Linked DNA regions of Xenopus tropicalis. The protein of the gene in region 1 purifies or fractionates together with the protein of each later gene. This does not show direct contact. Links are inferred from orthologs where the notes say so. Each region holds a gene or a part of one and is shown in the gene's direction. Other genes may lie near its edges. The genes, in order: rab27b and sytl4.

The links.
Region 2: the proteins of rab27b (region 1) and sytl4 purify together in Homo sapiens (co-immunoprecipitation; 3 studies listed by BioGRID and IntAct, counting the BioPlex papers as one, with this or other methods). This does not show direct contact. The link is inferred for Xenopus tropicalis from reciprocal best matches to the Homo sapiens genes RAB27B and SYTL4.

What each region holds. Positions count from the first base shown.
Region 1 is NC_030677.2:203,256,251-203,260,056, reverse strand, and holds part of rab27b (ras-related protein Rab-27B), read left to right. Parts: intron 1-652; coding exon 653-738; intron 739-2,955; coding exon 2,956-3,059; intron 3,060-3,806. UniProt on the Homo sapiens protein: Small GTPase which cycles between active GTP-bound and inactive GDP-bound states. In its active state, binds to a variety of effector proteins to regulate homeostasis of late endocytic pathway, including endosomal positioning, maturation and secretion.
Region 2 is NC_030684.2:64,624,765-64,628,592, reverse strand, and holds part of sytl4 (synaptotagmin-like protein 4), read left to right. Parts: intron 1-660; coding exon 661-822; intron 823-1,340; coding exon 1,341-1,446; intron 1,447-3,511; coding exon 3,512-3,611; intron 3,612-3,828. UniProt on the Homo sapiens protein: Modulates exocytosis of dense-core granules and secretion of hormones in the pancreas and the pituitary. Interacts with vesicles containing negatively charged phospholipids in a Ca(2+)-independent manner.

The sequences.
Region 1 (3,806 bases):
ACCTTTGGTTATTCTGTTATCCTCTAGTCCCAACCTTTCTTCACTCTTGTTCTATCTCCAGTTACTCTCTTTTACCACTACTTGTTTTCTTTTGGTGTTTTCCCTTTTCTTTTCCTTTGGCCTTTCCCATCATTTTTTGGGGTACATCTTCTATCCTCTTTCTAAACCTTTCCTATTCCTACTTTTTAATGTTTCTCATCCCTTATCTTTGGTCTTTTCCCACATATGTCTACTGCTCCATTCCGTTTTCTTTCTTTTCCCATTTTATTCTGTCTGCCCCTAAATGTGTCCTTCCACAGTCTGCATGGCAGGAGCAGAGAAACCATAAGCAAACATGCCTGGGGAGTTATGCTGGGGCCATGATGCTCTCCTTGTGAAGAACCCTTGAGTTCTGAGCTCATGACCAGCTCCAGAGTTGTGATTGGAAGGAGGTTTGGCTTTGCATTGGTATCCTGGTGGTCCAGTCCAAAGTTGTATAAAGCTAAGGTGAAGGCAACCATTGTGCATGTATTTGATGTATTTGTACTTCTTCTAACCTTCCAGGCAGTTTCTTTGTTTTTATATTGATGATTGTGTTCCATGACCTGTCCAATGTGCATGTAACATCTGAAACAAGACTAATGTTGGGTTATATTGTGTCATTATTGCCCAGATATACAGCAATGCAGGACCAGGCGGTACTCATGGCAAAACATTCAAGGTTCATTTGCAACTTTGGGACACAGCGGGACAAGAACGGTAACCATACAGTTATACATGGCTATTCTATTTCCTAACAGGCCATCAGAATTGGTCAACTTTCTGTAACTGCATACTCTATTAAATCATCTTTTACTGAAATCACCTTTGTATTAATAACTCCGATAACTTGGAGACAGGAGAAGGAGACAAAGTGAAACCCAATGTAGTCCTACAGGAATCTTTCAACTGATCCCATTAGTTAGATATTAGTAAAGCAAGGCAAGCATTTGAGGGTACTGCAACCCTTCTTGATGGTCTCATACAGTCAACTTCATGTAATCTACAGCAAAAAACCTTACCAGCCATACTCCTACATCTCAAAATGTGGTTGTGTATCTTCAACATGGATTAGGCTTGGAATTATCTGGGATTTAACCATTTGTTGTTGGAAGGGATCTGTTGGTTGATCTAGGTTGGTCTGCTAAGACATAACATTTGCAAGTTATGCAGTTATGAGTGCTGCAATGCTACATTAGGGTCATGGGGACACACTAAGGATAAAATAAGTACCGGTATAATTGTGGTGAATCAATAAGTAAAACCCACCCCCTCAGGGGATAACTGCATATTTATGTCCATAGGTCACATAGTCCACATAGTGAGATGATATAATCTGACAGACCAACATAAAAATAAGTGGCGTCCAACTAAATAAGTATCTAAACCTATAAGATGCACTGAAGCAGGCTGGCCAGCAATGAAACAGTATAACCTACTATCATCACTATCTTGACATGCTGTCATTCTCTTTATTTCTATCATCTTATCCTACTATCCACTTCCCAGCTTAAGGTCCCCACGTTAAGGTTCGCTCGCTTGGCGAGATCGCCAAGTGAGCGGATCTTCACCCAATATCCCCACCTATGGGTGGGTGATATCGGGGAGCGTGTAGGCTAATTGCCCTGGGGCCAAACGATCGCATTATATTGGCGGCAATGGGCAGTCGATTCGGGGACCACATCAACGAGCCAATGTGGTCCCCGATCCAACTGAATTTTCTAACCTTGCCAGATCAATATCTGGCCAATTTCAGGCCAGATATCAGTCAGGCAGGCCCCTCGTTCTGCCCCTACACAGGCCGATAAGCTGCCGAATTGGTCCAAGGGACCCATATCGGCAGCTACAATCGACCCCTGTATGGGGACCTTTAGGGTAATGACAGACGAGGATATTAGTTGCCTGCAATAAATCTCCTATACCGCGACGACTAACCTCCTCCAAATGCCTTCCTACCTGCGATAATGTAAACCATATGGCTTTGGCTTTCCAAAGTTGCCTCGCAAAGAAAATTTGGCCATCTTCAGAAAGCTGAAGGTACTCTTATGGTTTACCATAGTCCAAATCGTCCATTATTCATGGTGGGAAGGCATTTGGAGGAGATTAGTCACTTGCGATAGAGGACATTTATCGCTGGCCACTTATCTTTTGGTCATAGCCCTTGTTGTCACCATCCTGTGCTGTTGTTCCCAACTTTCCCTAATATATCTGCTATCCTTCAGTCTTTTTACATTAACTCCTCCTCAGCCAGGCCTATCCCCCTCTAGCAAGCCCCACTCCCCAAAATAGTGCTCTGTAAAATATCTGGGATACCTTTCTTGCTGTGGGCTACATGGCCAGGTTAATACACTACACCTAAATATCTTGAGTTTACAACTTGGGGGAGGGGGGATTATGGCTAAATATTGGAACATCAATGGTACTTGGTGTATTTTTACCCATATTGATGTAATTTGGACGGACATATATTTCTCTCAATGGAAAACACCTTCTAAATATTATATTCCTAACTTCCTATATTGTATAAATGCTGCCAACAAACTTTGGTAAACTCCCCAGGAACTCATCTAATCAGCTATCCTGCTCTATTGGCCAGTGATAGATGGTTCTTCCAGGCTATCTCCCTCCTGATTATTTATTTATAGTTTAGCACAGACATTGTTGTCAATAAAACACTTTTGGTTTATGAAAAAAGTTGGCCTGGAGCTTCTCGTGAATCCCATCAATAATCGGAAGCCGACTGCAATAATGTTCAATTCAATAGAGAATTTATGGCCCCCGGGGGTTCTTGGAGAGTCTCCAAGTCTATGCCGAACACCAGCGGATATTCTAGGTTATCCTGCCACCTCCCTTGTAATGTGTTTTGTTCATCTCCCCATTGGCTCATATTCAGTTATATAAATGTATGAAATTAACACAGACGTTTCTGTTCTGTAGGTTCCGAAGTCTCACCACAGCGTTTTTCAGAGATGCCATGGGATTCTTGTTAATGTTCGATCTCACTAGCCAACAGAGCTTCTTGAATGTCAGAAACTGGATGAGTAAGTGTTATGGCTTAATGGGATTCTGTCATGGGAAACCATGTTTATTTTGAAAACCCATCAGTTAATAGAGCTTCCCCAGCACAATCCTGCATTGAAATCCATTTTTAAAAAGAGCAAATAGATTTTTTTTATATTTAATTTCATACGGGGCTAGCCATATTCTTCATTTCCCAGGGTGCCATAGCCATGTTATTTCTGCTCTGATAAACTTCAGTCACACTTTACTAGTTGGAGTGATATCCCCCCCCCCTCACCCCCAGCAGCCAATCAGCAGTTACATGGGAGTAGGAGAAACAATAGGTTAGCTGAAAGCAGTTCTAATGTGTAGCGCTGGCTCCTTCTGAAAGCTCAGACTCAGGCACACTTTACTGCTGCGCTGCAAGTTGGAGTGATATCCCCCCCCCCTCACCCCCAGCAGCCAATCAGCAGAACAATGGGAAGGGAGCAAGATAGCAGCTCCCAGTAGGTATCAGAATAGCACTCAATAGTAAGAAATCCAAGTCCGGCTTGGGACTCCTCCAGTTACATGGGAGTAGGAGAAACAATAGGTTAGCTGAAAGCAGTTCTAATGTGTAGCGCTGGCTGAAAGCTCAGACTCAGGCACAATGCACTGAGATGGCGCCTACACACCAATATTACAGCTACAAATACATTTGTTGGTTCAAGAATAAGGTGTTAAATAGAATGAATAAATTGTATTGTGAACAATGTGATATAGTGATTAAAACTATACCATAAAAATCA
Region 2 (3,828 bases), on another chromosome or scaffold:
GGCACTCTGTCCTGCTCCATGGTAGCTCCTTCCACTGTATGTAGCAGCATCAGGCTCCACATAATAAGAAATCTTTAAGCATTTCCTCAGTGATCTGAAGTACCCATGGAGGACATTGTACAGTTTCTGCCAATGCCACTGCAGTATATCAAAAAGGCCTTTTCAGAGCTGCTGCAGTACATTATTCAGGTCTTACTACTGCACTCAAATCAAGAGTGCACTCTGGAGAACAAAATAAATCAAATGTGATTCTTTATTGTTTGATCCTTTATCAGGTGATTTTACAACCATCAGTGCTCCATCACCCCAGCCACTTTCCTGCAGCATACCTGTAAAAAGCTAACTTCTCCAATATGATGACTGTCATGTGGCTGGCTGAGGATGCAGCTTTTCTGTAGTAATGTTAATGAAATATGATTTTAAATATTCTGGTCCGATTTGTTGTCGTCAGTAGCTTATCTATTGCAAATGATACTGTTACTTATCAAACCCTCACAGCAAGAAACACCTTCCCTGCCCCATTGGTCAGAAATGATTTTCTTCACAGCAGCAAACACAGTTCCTACACAGCTCTCTATAATATTTGACATTTGTAAATTTGACATGCAATATCAAAGGTAGAATATGATATTTATTGTGGGTTTTTCTTCTTTGCCTTAGTATATAGTTCCAGAATCTATGCTCCATTTGAGATCCCTTGAGCTGTCCGTCTGGCATTATGATCGATTTGGCAGAAACACATTTCTAGGGCAGGTGGATATTCCACTGGATTCCTGGAACTTTGACAGCTTGATAGAAGAATGTCTTCCTCTGCATGGAAAGGTAATATTAAAGTATTTCAGTCATTTGTTAACACCAACCACTTGCTCTGATAGAAGAATAAAACTGTTATTAAATCTGCATTTTTACAAAAATGTGTTTTTAAAATTAGTATATACTGTTTTTCTTTTTATATTCCCAATATGGCATAAAAGCTGCTGAGATACTGGAGTCTAAGGAGCAACAACTGGAGTGTCTTACACTAGCATATCATTGCTGTGATCATTATCTAAAACACCTCCTATAAATTAGGCAACACCAAGGCTCCAGATTAGATGTGTCCCTCCAAGGTTTTTTTTATGTCCCCAGTCTCCCCAAGACATATATATTTTCTTTGTTTGACATCATTTTTAATAATCTGACTCATGAACACATAGTACAGAATATTAGATAATGAACTGACTAAATGAAAGATGATAGACAGCATTTAAATTAGTAATTCAAAAGCTGGTGGCCAAGTTGGTTTTATGCCACTAATGTGTTAGCTATTCGGTAGTGAAATTCTTGCCTTTGTTATTTAGGGCAACATGGACAGTGGAGCTGGCTTTTATAACTCCAAAGGGGAGCTGGTGGTTTCTCTGAAGTACGTACCACCTACCAAGCCCTCTGGAAGTGAGAGGCGAAAAAGTAAGTGGACAATTGCTGTGTATATCTAGTAACCATTATTTAGACTGCTTTAGCATGAGGTCTTTTTTATGGTTCTTCATAATACACTTAAAATGGATACTGCTGTCACAAAATGAGCCCCTATTCAGTGGTGTAACAAAGAAAGACTGGACACCCCTGCAGAAAAATCCTCTGTGGAAGGTGGGGAAGAGCCTGGAACGCTCAGTCTCTTCTCTTTCCTCTGTGGAAGCGGCTGTGGTTGGTGGCTGCTACCATACAGCTGACCCAGCAAAAGGCCAGGACCTCAGGGTCTGCTGTGTGGTAGTCCTTCCTTGTCCATCTTTCTGATTCATTAACTTTGCTGCCCACTGCAAACGAGCAAGCATCCCTCAAAAGATTTTGTTTGCAGGGGGTAAATGAACCACTCCCCCTTTTTAATATTTCTTTACAGTTTTTTATTGCACCGTTATATTCTGTCAAACCACTGAGCATAAATACATTGATAACATTAACGCTCTATGGTGTTTTTGTTCTGGCTCAGCTAAACAGCACTGTATTTATATCAACTGTAGTCATTATGAAGCGTAAACACAATTACCATTGAAGGGCAACAGTATATTATATTTTAATTATTTTGAAACCTTTTAATTTTTTGGTGTTACTGTTCCTTTTAAGTATGGAGTTCTTGGACGCTGCACCCCTGCATATGTTAAGCAGAAGTAAATCATGCTCAAATTGAAGACATATATGGGAATTTATGGGAATGCCCATGCCCTTCCCACATGGCATCCTTAATGATACAGATTCAACTTGCATGATATTTACATGTAGGTGCAAATCTTGTAGCCATGTTAGTACACAGTGTTTGACTTGTGTCTGACAAATTTATGCTGGAGTTTTCAGAGATATGGTGCATAAAGTGTACTGTACCAATTTTTGCACCTTGCACAATGCACTGAGATGGCTGCCTACACACCAGTACTGCAACTAAAAAGAATACATTTGTTGGTTCAAGAATAAGAATTTAATTGGGAGAGTGAATTACTGTGTTTGCTATGTAAACAGTGTAATTTAAAAATCATGACAGAATCCCTTTAAAGCAGTGCTGTCCAACTTCTGTTGTACTGAGGGCCGGAATTTTTCCGACCTACGTGGTGGAGGGCCGATAATGGAAGCCAGTTTTGACCACTCCCCTTTTTGAAACTGCACCTACTTGAAACCACACCCACGTTATCACATGACCATAGCCATATTAATAGTTGTAGTACAGCAAAAACCTGCCATACTCTGCCTTCCCTACCCTGTCTGTGTGTGCCATACTCTGCCTTCCCTACCCTGCCTGTGTGTGCTATACTCTGCCTGCCCTACCCTGCCTGTGTGTGCCATACTCTGCCTGCCCTACCCTGCCTGTGTGTGCCATACTCTGCCTGCCCTACCCTGCCTGTGTGTGCCATACTCTGCCTGCCCTACCCTGCCTGTGTGTGCCATACTCTGCCTGCCCTACCCTGCCTGTGTGTGCCATACTCTGCTTGCCCTATGATGTATGGCACACACAGGCAGCTTACAGTGACACAATGCTGGCACTGCTCCTACAGTCTGCACTGTATATTAAAAAACTATATATTAAAATTTTTTTTAATTGAAGTCCCACCTCAGTATATGTTCTTTTTGTAGTGTGCAGGGATTATTTGTGGGTTTCTATTGCTCCTGAGGTGTGAACAGGGGAACAATGGGGGTGATTACAGCCTGAGCCTGAGGTGTGAACACTGCAGGGGGTGAACAATGCAGAGATTAAAAGGTGTGAACAACACAAGGGATTACATATTTAAACAATACAGCCTGATTACAGCCTGAATCTGAGGTGAGAACCATGCAGGGGGGGGCAGTTAATCTCAGTACTGATGCCATTTAAAGCTTACACAAGAGTAAGCCATCAAAGCAGCCAGACAGGTGGGGGGCCACACAGAGGGGGGCCGCGGGCCACCAGTTGGACAGCACTGCTTTAAAGTATAAATAATCTTGCAATTATTGTAAAGGCCCCTGGACACGTTTTCTGAAAAAATATTTTTTTGATTTTTGAAACTAGAAAAAGCAGATGAAGGAGGAGAACTTCATGTCTGGATTAAAGAAGCTAAAAACCTCACTGCTGTTAAGACGGGAGGGATATCTGACAGCTTTGTTAAAGGGTGAGTAGACTACCAAAGTATATTATTGTTTCCAAGGACTTCTAAATTAGGGCTGCACTGAATCCAGGATTCGGCAGAATCCACAGTCCTAAAAATCACATGACTTTTTGTCATGTTAACACCATTGTATGGGGTGACATTTAACCCTTCCAAATGCTAATTAGCATATGCTAATTAGGATTCAATTCGGCATTCATCTGAATTGAATTCAGGGGTT